Linked DNA regions of Caenorhabditis elegans. The gene in region 1 interacts genetically with each later gene. Each region holds a gene or a part of one and is shown on either strand. Other genes may lie near its edges.

Region 1 (8,098 bases):
GACTTCGCTTGCAAGTTCTACAAACCTCAATGACGCAATTGCGGTATTATATTTAGGTATTTAGTTCATTATATTTTCAGTATATTTTTAGTATTAACTGTCTGGTAGCTGCTTTGATGATGGTAAACGACGTCGAACAAGTCAACACGACATTTGATTCAGCATCGAGATATCGAACATGTAGGAATTTAATAGGGAACGAATCGAAATGTTTGAGGATAAAACTCCTCGACCTAATTTATTTCGGAAGATTGAGAATTTTTATTAATGAAAAACCAACATCTGGATTGACATAAACGGCTTTTAGTTCCTTTTCGCATTTTTCGGGGAGAATGAGATGAATATCTGATATATGATGAACATGATAAGAATATGAATTTTAGATTTTATTAGGTTACTTAATTCTAGAGATTTCATGAATTGGTATGTCTTCAAAACTCAAAAACTCGCCATTATCTTAATTTGTATTCCATGTACCATTTATTAATTTTATGAAGTTTTTTATGTTCACATCTATGATATGTTTATACAACTTCCCCAGTATTTCAACGACTTGCAAAAATAATATCAAGCGATGAAATATTTTATTATCAATCAAAATGGTGAATTCATCAAAAAATTTAACTTAAATCATAAGAAGAATAACTCCAAGAGTTTTCCATGTGAGACCCGCTCGTGTGGCGTTTGGATAATTGAATGAAAGAAGAATAAAAACAAAGTTATAAAGCTGACATGAAGACATTTTTTGTGTGTATTTTCAGATGTTTCCAGTTCGAACGTAATATCTCAATTGATCTTCAGAGTTGACAACAATCAATCGACGCCGAACAAGATAATCTCCGCCGAGTGCGATTCTTTGTTGTTCTTCTGAAACTTATTAAATATGGATTGGAAATAAACTAAATTTGAACCAACCAACAACGCTTGTGAAATTTTTAGATTTCGACGGATTTCTTGCAAACGCGGACGGTGAAATTCCGAACTGAGAAGCAAGTTCTGGGTTTGCTTCCAATGCTTTTTTGATGTCTTCAAGTGATAATTCTCGCCTGTATCGATGCATGTAGCTACTGTCACAGCCTTCCACGTCGTCGCATGTGTTCTGAAATTTGTTTGAACTTTTAAAAATTCAGATCACTTGCGACCATCTGTTTGACAAAGATTATTATTTTCTAGACACTAATCAAGCTTCAACTCACCTTCGGACACGGAGCAAATGGACATATTCTCACGAGACAGGAGTACTGTACTTGTCCAGTTGTTTGATATCTGAATGCCTCAACGGAAACTTTTGCTCCAAACTCAGAATGTGTTGGTGGGCAGACGAGACCAACACCGTCAGCAGGACATCCATCTCTTATGATGAACAGTGGCTCGTGCTCCCATTCATATTTTGGATCAATTGGCTCAACTTGGCAACCACGAACGTCTACGTACTCCGGTGGAATTGGATAGTGTGGACGGAATGATAGACTGATTTTTGTTCCAACAACGACGGCTTCAACTGGTTGTCCGTTGTGGAAAATATCGAAAATCACTGGAACTTTTGGTTTTCCGGCAAGTGTTGAGCTGAAATTATACTTTTTTAAAATTGAGATTTTGCAGAAAATTTGATAACTTTTAAAAAATAGTTTTTTATTAAAAAAAGCCGCTCGTGAGAAACTGGAAAATTGGAAGTTTGAAAGTTTTAGAGAACAAAAATGTTGAGCTTGCCGTTTTTGAAACAAATAAAAAAATGAATTTTCATAACTTTTCCTTGTTGTAATATACTTTGGTTTGACAAAACTTAAAATACTTACCCATCATGAGCCACCGATGCAACGGAAGATGCGGGAGCTCCTACATGAGTGGTCGTTGTTTGTGGTGACGTGGGCGTACTTGTAGTAGTTTTAGTTGTTGTAGATGCCGTTGTGGATGGTAATGTTGTTGTTGACGTAACGGTTGTAGGTTTTTGTGTGGTTACTGTGGTTGTTGATGAAGAAGTTGTAGCTGTCTCTGTAGTGGTTGGCTTTGGAGTTGTTGTAGTGGTAGCAGTTGTTTTGGATGGTGTGGTTGGTACGGTAGTTGAAGTTTGTACGGTAGTAGTTGGCACATCACTGAAACAACAAAAAACGTTTAATATTGGAATTTAATATGAAAAAATCATGAATAATTCAATTTTTAAAAATGCGGTTTTTCAATTGTGACTAATTTCCCTGTTTGAATTTCCTTCAAAATCAGAATTGCAAGACCAATCAGCAATTTTCTACGCTCACTTCTAAACCAATCAAACGGAGTTGTGGAACTTGAAGAAAATTCAAATAGCGAGATTAGTCGCAATTGAAAAATTGCGTTTACAAAGTTGAATTTTTCAGTCTTACTTTTTTGATTATTAATTAAAAACTGAAAAAAAACAACATCACAAATTTTTTTCACGAAAACCAAAAAAATAATTACCAAACAAATGGTTAGATATGAAACAAATAAAATAAAAACTTGCATTTTCTGTGTACTTGGATGTTTTGTAGTAAAGAGCCGAGCTCTGGCAAAACTTGAATCTTTTCCTACGATTATTGCAACTTTTGAAGTTGCCGACATGATAGTGGATCTGCGAGGGTTAGCTGGTTTCCTGGTTGTAGTACTTGGTGGAATTGTGGTTGAAGTAGTAGTAGAAGTTGTTGTACTTGGGGAAGTAGTTGGCTTAGGGGAAGTTTTTGTAGTAGTAGTAATAACAACAGGGGATTTGGTGGTAGTGGTGGTAGGTTTTTGGGATGGTTTTGGGGTTGTGGTTGTTGTGGTCGTCAACTTTTTAGTAGAAGTTGTAGTTGATGGTTTCTTGGTTGTAGTCGTAACTTGCCTTATTACTTCTGTTGTGGTAGTCAATGGAAGTGGGAATGTGTTTTGAAGGGCTTCATCATCTCCAGTTTTCGAGAGTAACTCAAACAATGCATGCGCTGATGCTTCCATTGCCTTGTTTCTAAACATATTTAACTAATCATTCAAACAATCATTCAAACTAATTCTGTATTAGGAGTGAAAAAATTTAAATGAAATAAAACAACTAATAAATAAATTCTAGCAAGTTTTACCTGTTATCCAAATGAGCCGAGGATTTTGTGTTAGCGGGATCCTTTGCTTTTACACCACTAATTGGACATTTTGCCTGGTATGTCAAATCTTCAGGAGTAATGAAATAAAGTGGCTCTATTCCATCAGTAGATAAGACAACTTCAAGTACCATTTCGTTTCCCTGGAAATTTGTATTTTGAAAAATATCATGAGAATATATTAGGGCGGCAAATAAGTTTTGACGTATTTCGTCAATTTACGGTTTTCCTTAAATTTTATATGGGTGACTTATAATATGCAGTAAGTATATACAAGCTTATTAGTTTTAGCTATTTCAGCCAGCTTCTCGGTACTTTGATCTGAAAAAATTCAAAATTTTTTCGAAATTTTTTTTTTGCGATTTTTTGAGTTAGGCGTTACAGTTTTGATGTTAATATCTAAATCAATTAAGTTTTGTTTGTAGATTACAAAAATTGAATCCTGACTCGATTGGACCACACCCAAAACTTTTATAGCCAATCAAAGTCAAAAAGTGAGGTGTACTAAAAATTTGTAATTTTTCAGATTCAATCTTTTCTTAACATTTCAAACTAAAAAATGGATACGTTCATCCAAGTAATTCATTTTATAACAAGTCTGGTCAGTTCCAGGCTCCGTTGGGGATTTATGAGTTCCAACTTTTACAAGATCTGGGATGTTCAAAAGTCCGTTATGCTATTTTCCAAATTATTTTTTTACAAAAAAGCATCAAATATCATAAATTGAAGCCTGTTTCTTTCACGTGAGCACTAATTTTTGCTTTTTTTGTACAAACTAACTTCCTAAAACTTTAAGTTTTTTGATCAAAAGTTCAAATCTTTTTTCTTGGTAGACAACTTGGAACCATATGAAAAACAAAGATAATACAGTAGAAACAAACATAATTTTATAATATTTGATGCTTTCTTGTAAAAATATAATTTGGAAAATAGCATAACGGTCTTTTGAACATCCCAGATCTTGTAAAAGTTGAAACTCATAAATTCGAAAAGGAGGTTTGAACAGACCAAATTGGTTATAAAATGTTTTACTTGGATAAACGTATCCACTTTTTAGTTTGAAATTTCAAGAAAAGATACAAATTTTTAGTACACTTCACTTTTTGACTTTGATTGGCTATAAAAGTTTTGGGTGTGGTCCAATCAAGTCGGGATTCAATTTTTGTAATCTACAAACAAAACTTAATTGATTTAAATACTAATATCAAAACTCTGACGCCTAACCCAAAAAATCGCAAAAAAAAATTTCAAAAAAATTTTGAATTTTTTCAGATCAAAGTACCAAGAAGCTGGCTAAAATAGCTGAAACTGATATGCTTATATATACTCACTGCCTACTATAAGTCACCCATATAAAATTTGAGGAAAACCGTAAATTGACGAAATACGTCCAAACTTATTAGCCGCCCTAATGACTTGATGCAAAAATAATGATAGTTTGACACAAAAACATAACCTACGATATTGGCACAAACAAAATTGGTTTTTTTTTCAGACCAAGAAATCTTTTTCAAAAATGTTTGATCATAGTTGTAATTTTTTTAAACCATTTTTTGGCAAATTATGTGTTTTGGACACTTTCTGATCTTACCTTGTACTTAATAGAATCCGAACAGTTCTTGCTGACAGTCTGATATGGGAAAAAGTGATCGAATTCAGTGGCTTCTTTTGGTTCAGTCCGACAAGTGAAGAAGTCATAAAGTCCATAAATGGCTCCAGTATAAGGAAGACGAGACTTGACGCTGACTGAGATTCCATTATCACGACATTCATGTTTGAATGTGAATGATTCGGATACTGAAAATACTTCAAATGAATACTTTTCTTTTCCAATTCACTTACAATTGTAACAGTTATTCTCGTAATAATCAATTCGATAGTTGGGGTTATTGTTCAATCGAATGGCTTCCGGTCGTGAAATTTGTGAATCCTTAGACATATGACATCCTCCGTCTGTTCTATTGAAGGAGATTGAACGGCATTCAAATGATTTTTCATCCAAACAATCCGAAAGACACTCTTCTAAATTTGCTTTTGTTGTCCATTTTATAACTGACTTTTGATCCATATAACGATCCGAAAGATATGTGAATGCGTATTCTCCAGAACATTTTCGAGTGGCTGAAAAAAAACAGTTTGACTTTTTTAATATAAAAAAAAACATTCCAGAAATCAGGATTTTGAAGTACAAAATAATAAAAAATTAAAAAATGGCTTCAAATGGATTTCACATTTTTTCCTGAAAATACCTACGCCTGCATTCAGCCTAATTGTTTGTAAAAATGATAACTAAATATACAATATACATAGCTCTGAAACCAGAATTGAGGAATATTTTATTAATTTATGAGACTTTCTTCTACTTTAGAAAGCTCCCACATAGGCGCAAAATACTGGACAGGAAACATGTCTGCCTACCAAGAAAACACTAATTTTGTAAAATTACAAATTTTTATTTTTAAATGACATTTAAGAGCTTCAACTGTATTTAATTTTGAAATTTGAAATAACTTAATCTCATTCCTTATTGAACAAAAACTCACAAGGAAGGCAATATTTCCAGTAGAATGTGAATCGATCATCCGCCTCAACATAACCGTCAACATTTTGTAGTTGATGCGGCTGGAAAACGGCGCAAAGATGTGAAAAGCCATCTGGAGATGCTTGATGATTCACTGCAGCACACTCTAATTGTTTTCCTGGACTGACTGGATCTTCTCCAAGTGAACATGCGGATTGACACCCTTTTAATGAAAGTCTCGCTTCAGCAACTGCCTTGAAGTTGAGACGAACTCGAGGCCATCGAACATAAAATGAGTTACATTTTGGAACGAATGCTGGAAAAAAACCAAAAAATTCTAATTGAAAGTTCAACTTTCAAGAATCACCTTCTGACGATGTAGAGTAGAATGCTATTAGCAATAGTAGAGAAATTAGTGGATGTCGCATTTACTGAAGAGAGCAGATTAGGAAAATAAATGGAAAGAAAATGAAGAATTGAGATTGGTGGATACGGAACAAAATAAGGGAAGATTATGAACAGACGAGACTGTTTTCGGGTCATTTGAATTGAAATGGGGAGAACGAGGTATAAGCGGAAGAGAAAGCTCCTCCGAAGCACGAATAAGTGGAGAAAGTGGTTAGATAAACAAGTTTAGGTACATCATATTTGGGGAGAAAAACTTCGAATTCCGTGAAGTGAGGAGAATTTTCGTGCTTTGAACTTTATGAACTGCATATGTAGAGCTTAAAATATGTTTTTGGAACCTATACAACAAATAAAGCAATTTATTCCCGAAGTTTCGATTATTTATGAATATGAATAAGAGAATGCACATTGTGTTCAAAGAGATTTTTCAAAAAAGTAATGTACATGTTTTCCGCTCCAGTCTCTCAATTGACAACTTTTTATAACTCTGATGGCAGTTGAGATATTGATGTGATCATATCAATTACAGTAAATCATTTTCTATTTGATGTATGTAGGTATCATAAACTGTTAATCGAATGACGTATTTGCTTTGCTTCTCACCCTCGAGAAACGATTCGGTTCAACCATAAATCGTGAATCTCGCATGTACTTTTATTCGTAATCCAATGATAAGTGAAGTGTGGCTAACCCTATCCTATTCATTGTGTCTATGCCATCCAGTTACTTCAACCGTTCCCTCTATCTCTCTAGTTAACCAAAAACGGAAACCGGTGCGCGTCGACCTCATTGCTTTTCACTTTTTGCAAACAAGCCAGAAATTACCATGGATTCATGGATGACCACTAACTGTTAAAAGAGGATTTTCAGATGATGGGAAAAAAGGGAATAACTGACAATGGGAGAATACAGAAATGACCTTCTCATTCTATTGTAAATGTTTGTAAACTCTAAGATTTAGGAAGATCGAGGTGGAAGAAGAGTGTCTGAGGAACAGATTATGTCACAAAACAGGGAATGAAACGAGAGAAATGACCAAAAACGATTGGTTTCTTCTTATTCGTGTGTCGTCCCGCTCACAGAGGTCAGACTAAGATTGAAAAGGCTAAACTGACGAAGGGCGGTGTATATTCTTACAAAAGTAAGACTAGGTGTGAAATTACTTGATTTTATGACACCAGGTCCGAAACAATAAAATTAAGATAAGGTTTATGGTTGTCAGCTGAGAACAAATTGAAACCGATGGGTACGGTAGAATGCAACGAGGTTAACCAAAAATTTCAAACGTAATTGTTTTAAAAAATTGAACAAAACTGAAATAAAAATAAATGGTGAAATATAGAAAAAATATTTGTCTAGTTTGAAAATAGCATGCTAGAAAAGATTCTCAAAACTACCTGAAACTTGCCGAGAGAACTGCAGTTAAAATTGTTTCGGCGAATGCCAACTTTCCACCATTCTTTAAAATCTTTCTCGAGATTTTCAAATACATATGTATTTTTATATGTTTCTACGGTGATTTTTATTATTCAAATTGAAAAATATATATAATGGAAAGACTACATGAATAACGACATTAAAATACCGTGACAAAAAATTCGAGCAAGATGCTCCTCTCGGGCGCCTCGACCGGATGGAATGTTCGCATACATTTCTACGTAACAACAATGGATCTGAAAAGTATAAGAAAACGCATAGATGGCTGAATTTTCAAATAAGAATGTGAGGAATGATGTGTATGTACTTGATAAAAGAAGATAACTAGGCCATTCTCGAGGTGGAATCCAAAAGGTAAAAGTCAAATAAGCAAATAAGCGAAAGAGAAAACATTGGTGATCCAGCAATAGCTGCTGGCTACCTCTATCCGGAATGATACACTCGGACATTTGTGAGAGAGAGACAGTTAATTGGTTCAGTGTGCTAGGAGGTGAAAAGTGAGAGAAAAAGATGAAGAGGAAGAGTGAGAGATACAACATACGGATAAGGTTAGGATGGACAGTATTGCGCACGCAACCGATCGAGACGACACGGCCTTGACACGCAACAAAAACTTCTTTTCGGGATGATGCCGTACAAGGAGGCGGAT
Region 2 (4,935 bases), 740 kb from region 1:
AACATATCCTGGCTTCGCAGTGTTACGCTATTCGAAATTTTGTGTGCAGTTTTTTCTGAAATTTTCTTTTCAGTATTTCATCTATGATTTTTTTTAGAAAAATGATTTTTCAAAACTTTTCTTTCATCTCGTGGCAAGACCTATCCGAATGAATTCGTGCGCCTTTTTAAAACCTTGCAAAAAATTCAAAAACTTTAGAATCTCCGTAACAATAAAGCAAAAGAAACTTTACATTCATTAGCTAATTGTATCTAACCGTCTGCGCCTCATGTTCGCTTGAAGTCATACACTATTTCAAAGTGTACTTCAACTACAACCACCAGTACTACTATTACAAGATATTCGCCCTTTTTTCTTTTTTTTTCTTTCTTCTCCATGTGTTTCCACATCCAATTTGATTGATGGTCTTTCCCGTTTTCTCCTTCATTTTTTCGGAATGGAGCTCCTTTTTTTATTCGATTGTTCTCGGGATATATGCAATATTAGAGTTTTTCTTTGTTTTTTACGTTTCCATGTAGTATGCTTTAATCCTTTCGCATTTTTCTGAAAATATTGCTTAAAGGCGCACGTAATTTTCCGGATGGGTCTCGCCGCAAAAAAAACAATGGGTAATAAATATCACTTATTGAAGCACTTTTGGAGCACATCCATATTTTAAAAATCAATGTATGTTGTGTTATTATCACAATTTTAAGTTTAATTAATTAAAGAAAAAAATTGAATCTACCAAAAACTTTATTCGCCGCGAGACCCATCTGGCTAAATCCGTGCGCCTTCGACTACAGTTTTCAGAAAATTGAGAAGTTACGATATTGTTTAATGAACCATGCGGCGATAAATTCTTTTCGAAATTTTTTTTCAACTTCCCGTCTTTCTAGTTTAATTCGAATTCAGAATAGTATCAGTCTAGTTAATGGTTTTTGCGGGTTTTTTATTTGAAAGCATTTTAGAAAATTTTATGGTAGCGCTTTCCGATTTTTATATTTTTTATTTATTTTCATGATTATCATTCGAAATGCTGAGAATACTAAATAGCAGAAATTGCAAGAAAATTTTCAAAGAAAAATCTAAATTTGTACCATACACGTTTGTTTCTCGTGGCGAGACCCAGTCGGAGAATTGCGTGCGCCTTTAAAAACATAAAATACGATACTTTTTCGATACATTTTTTTAACAGAAAAATGTGAATCGTCAATATATTTACATTCCGCAGTATTTCGCTGTAAATGCCTTAAATATTTTCTATTTTTTTTTAATTTCTATTTTCGAAAAATACTGAATTCTCCTATTGCAACAAACTTCCATATTTAGTAAGTTTTCAACACTACATAAATGTGTATTGGAAATGAATTGAAAAATAAAGGGAAGCACGCACAAACACGAATTTGTCGAAATAAATGAATTTTTGCCCGGTTCATTGCACGCAATTCTAAACATGCAGAGAGTGGAAGTGAGAGTGACCAAAAGTTTTTTTTGTTCAATGTTCCTGGGTCTCCTCTCTTTGCATGTAGAAATGTATATCCAATATCTTTTTTTGAACATCTTTTTTCCAAAGAAATGTTTCATTGATTTTTGTTGAAACTCAAATTTTTTAATTTTTTTGAAATTGATTTTTCAGTGAAAAATTGCTCCATTTTCTTAATTATTTATTAGTTTTCAAAAAAACTAGCAATTTCAGAAGTATCAAACACTGTACTCCTTAAAGGCGCATAGCATAAACTTTAAAATACGTGAAATCGTTTCGAGAACTGGCGGGTACGGTATTTGCTATTTTAAACTGTTTTTTCTTCATTTTCTGAACACGTGTCAACACATCCTCCCACGCCTTTCAATTCTGTTATTTTTCCGTTTAAATTGTGTAAAATTGACTGTAAATTCTAAAAATTGCAGGCAAAACAAACGTCAACCGGGGGTAGAAACAACGAAAAAAGAAAAATATTCGAAGAATGCGAGAGGAGCCGACGGCGGGTACCGCTGATGCGACGCTCAATAAACTGCTTCAAGCAGCCGATTTATCAGGGTAAGAGCTGGAAAATTAAGATTATTTGCTGAAAAATGGGGTTTTCAGAAGAAAAATTAACAATTTCTGCGTAAAAACCGAGATTCAAGTAATTAAAAAATAAAATTTTCAGCTACGAATCAGATCTCCGTCGAAAACTAAAACTACGAAATGCTGCCGATTTACAATATGTCGAAGAAGTCGATTTGTTGTCTGTTGGTGAGGATTTTTTTTTTAATCTCAATGAATAATTATTTTAAAAATACCGAAAAAATCACAGTTTTGTTAGTTTTCCACTCAAAAATAGAACAATAATCTCTGAAAAAAAACCAGAATAACTTCTTTAAAATTCTAAAAATAATATTCGACAAAAAATAATTAAATTTGTTTTGTTTTTTTTTTCTACTTTCTGCCTCTAAATACCATCAATATTTACACAACGATTCAATCGAAACAAGTGTTTATTTTTCTCATTTTTCAATCGTATGACTGCTCATTTTGTGGCCATTTATTTTAGTTTTCTTTTTTTTAATTTGAGATTTTTTAAAATTAGTTTATTTTTCTCTGAAATTAAATTAAAAATTGATCGGAAATTAAGAATTATATTTCAGAAAAAAATCCGAAAAATAAACTTACATTTTTCAGGAATGAGCCGCCCGGAGCAAAAGCGCCTCCGAAAAGAATATACAAAAATGTTTCCGTCTGGAATTTTTGGAAAAGTGAAAAAAGCATTCAAAAGGGCGGAAAGTTTGGATCGAAAAACTTCGAATTCAGTTGCAAATCAAGATGATAATGATCATCATGTAATTCCAATTGAAAAGTGAGCATTTCTGGGAAAAACGTGGAGCAAAATGGAAAATTAAAAAAAATTTTTTTAAAAACTCCAGAAAAAAAGATGTTTTGGCAAAAGATCATTTTTTCAGAATGAAAAATTTGAAAAAATCGAAAGAAAATTAATTTTAAAAGTATGGTATTTTCAGAAAAAAAAACAAAAGAAATAATTTTTTTTTTTCGAAGATTAAAAAATAAAAAATTTTTAGCAAATTTTATTCCTCTTCGCAAGAATAACCACCACATAAAAATATAAGTTATCTACAAAAAAGTGAAGAAAAATATCTAAAATTTAAAAAATCTGATTTTCGTTATTGAAAATCAGAAAAATCGGAAATTTCCAAGCAAATTTGCATTTTATTTATTTTTAGGTTTTAAATTTTAATTCAAGTTTCCTAGAAAACAAACTATTTATTTAAAAATTCCTTGTTTTCAGAAAAAAGTACAGAGGTTTCGACTTTCCGAGATTTTGCAAAATCGAAGAAAACTGTGTTTGCAAATTTGACATTACATCATATTATTTTTTCAACATTGAAAAATCTCTTTTAAAATTGCTCGATTTAATTTTTCGAGAAAATTAATTGAAAACTAAAGTTACAATTTTCCAGAATAACGCTTTGCAAAGAGTTGGGACAAGGAGAATTCGGGTCAGTTTGGCAAGCAGGATGGAAGAATTCAGCAGGAAGTGACGTCATTCAAGTAGCCGTAAAATGTGTTGGATCTGATAAACTACTTGCCACGTCATCATCATTTTTACAAGAAGCTGCAATTATGACACGAATGAGACATGAACATGTTGTTAGACTATATGGAGTTGTTCTTGATACGAAAAAAATTATGTTGGTAAGGATTTAAAAATTAAAATCTAAGCCGGAACAAATCTGGTAATATTAGAATTTTTTGTATATTCAAATTTTTTGTCATAAAACCGAAAAAAAATTTCAAAAAACAATGGAAAAAATATCGTAAAATAGAGTTTTAATGCAATTTTCGATTTTGCTAGAAAAACCCAGAATAAATATTAGATTCTCGTATGCCTAAACGAAGACAAACAAAGACCATTTTTACAGAAAAAAAAAATACCGAAAATTATTTTAAAAATTGAAATTTTTTATGCGACTTTTGAAATTAAAATTAGTATTTAAAAATTGTTTTTAATAAGAAATCTCTATAGAACCCTAGAGCTTGATTTTTTGCATTTTTCATCAAAAAAAGGAAAAAAAAACGGAAAAAATGGTCCAGAACGATGTATTCTAGCCTGAAACTGTCAAACTCACAGCAAAAATTGCGCACTTCTCCTCCTCGTGAGAAAGTTTTAATGATAAAAAATCATAAATTTTCGAAAAAAATTGAACATTTCAGAATTATCTAAAAGTTCAAAAATTATAACAAAAAATTTGCAGGTCTCGGAGCTCGCAACATGTGGATCTTTGCTGGAATGCCTTCACAAACCGGCTCTCCGTGATAGTTTTCCAGTTCATGTTTTATGTGATTATGCTGAACAAATTGCAATGGGAATGTCATATCTTGAATTACAAAGACTCATTCATCGAGATCTTGCCGCAAGAAATGTGCTCGTTTTCTCACCGAAACTTGTGAAAATATCAGATTTTGGACTATCGAGATCTCTTGGAATTGGTGAAGATTATTATCGAAGTGAATTTACACCGAATCTTAAGCTTCCTATTGCTTGGTGTGCACCGGAGTGTATTAATTTTTTAAAGGTATTGCAAAAAAACATTTGCTGAAATTTACCAAATTTTAATTTTTCCCCAATTTTGAACAATTATTCAATTTTCAGACCCCTTTTTGTTCGAAAATTTCACAAAATTTCGGCCTAAACTCCGATAATTCGCAAAAATAAATATTAAAAACGAAGAAACAAAAAATTCCAATAAAATTTTCTTTTTTTATTTCAAATATTACATTTCAAACAAAATTTTAAAAAAATGTATTTTTGAAAAGTTTTATTTTAAAAAAATATTTAAAATTGAAATGTTATAAGAATTTTTAAATTCATACAAAAACCGTTTTTATAATATTTCTAAAAATCTATAAAACATAATTCTTTAACATTTTTAAATTAATTTTTGAAAAGTTCTGAA

The links.
Region 2: of let-653 (region 1) and ark-1, changing one enhances a phenotype caused by changing the other (phenotypic enhancement), as found in Caenorhabditis elegans (one large-scale study listed by BioGRID).

What each region holds. Positions count from the first base shown.
Region 1 is NC_003282.8:11,883,552-11,891,649, reverse strand, and holds let-653 (Protein let-653), read right to left. Parts: upstream 6,036-8,098; 5' UTR 6,033-6,035; coding exon 5,972-6,032; intron 5,921-5,971; coding exon 5,627-5,920; intron 5,205-5,626; coding exon 4,926-5,204; intron 4,881-4,925; coding exon 4,675-4,880; intron 3,227-4,674; coding exon 3,066-3,226; intron 2,954-3,065; coding exon 2,477-2,953; intron 2,094-2,476; coding exon 1,797-2,093; intron 1,567-1,796; coding exon 1,197-1,566; intron 1,100-1,196; coding exon 916-1,099; intron 868-915; coding exon 758-867; 3' UTR 569-757; downstream 1-568. UniProt on the Caenorhabditis elegans protein: Required for epithelial tube development and shaping. Involved in the morphogenesis and function of the three unicellular tubes of the excretory system, the canal cell, the duct cell and the pore cell.
Region 2 is NC_003282.8:12,627,978-12,632,912, reverse strand, and holds the start of ark-1 (Ack-related non-receptor tyrosine kinase), read left to right. Parts: upstream 1-1,890; 5' UTR 1,891-1,946; coding exon 1,947-2,020; intron 2,021-2,132; coding exon 2,133-2,218; intron 2,219-2,644; coding exon 2,645-2,819; intron 2,820-3,438; coding exon 3,439-3,673; intron 3,674-4,233; coding exon 4,234-4,554; intron 4,555-4,935. UniProt on the Caenorhabditis elegans protein: Probable tyrosine protein kinase which plays a role in vulva development, probably by acting as a negative regulator of the let-23/EGFR and let-60/ras pathway. Involved in the negative regulation of germline development.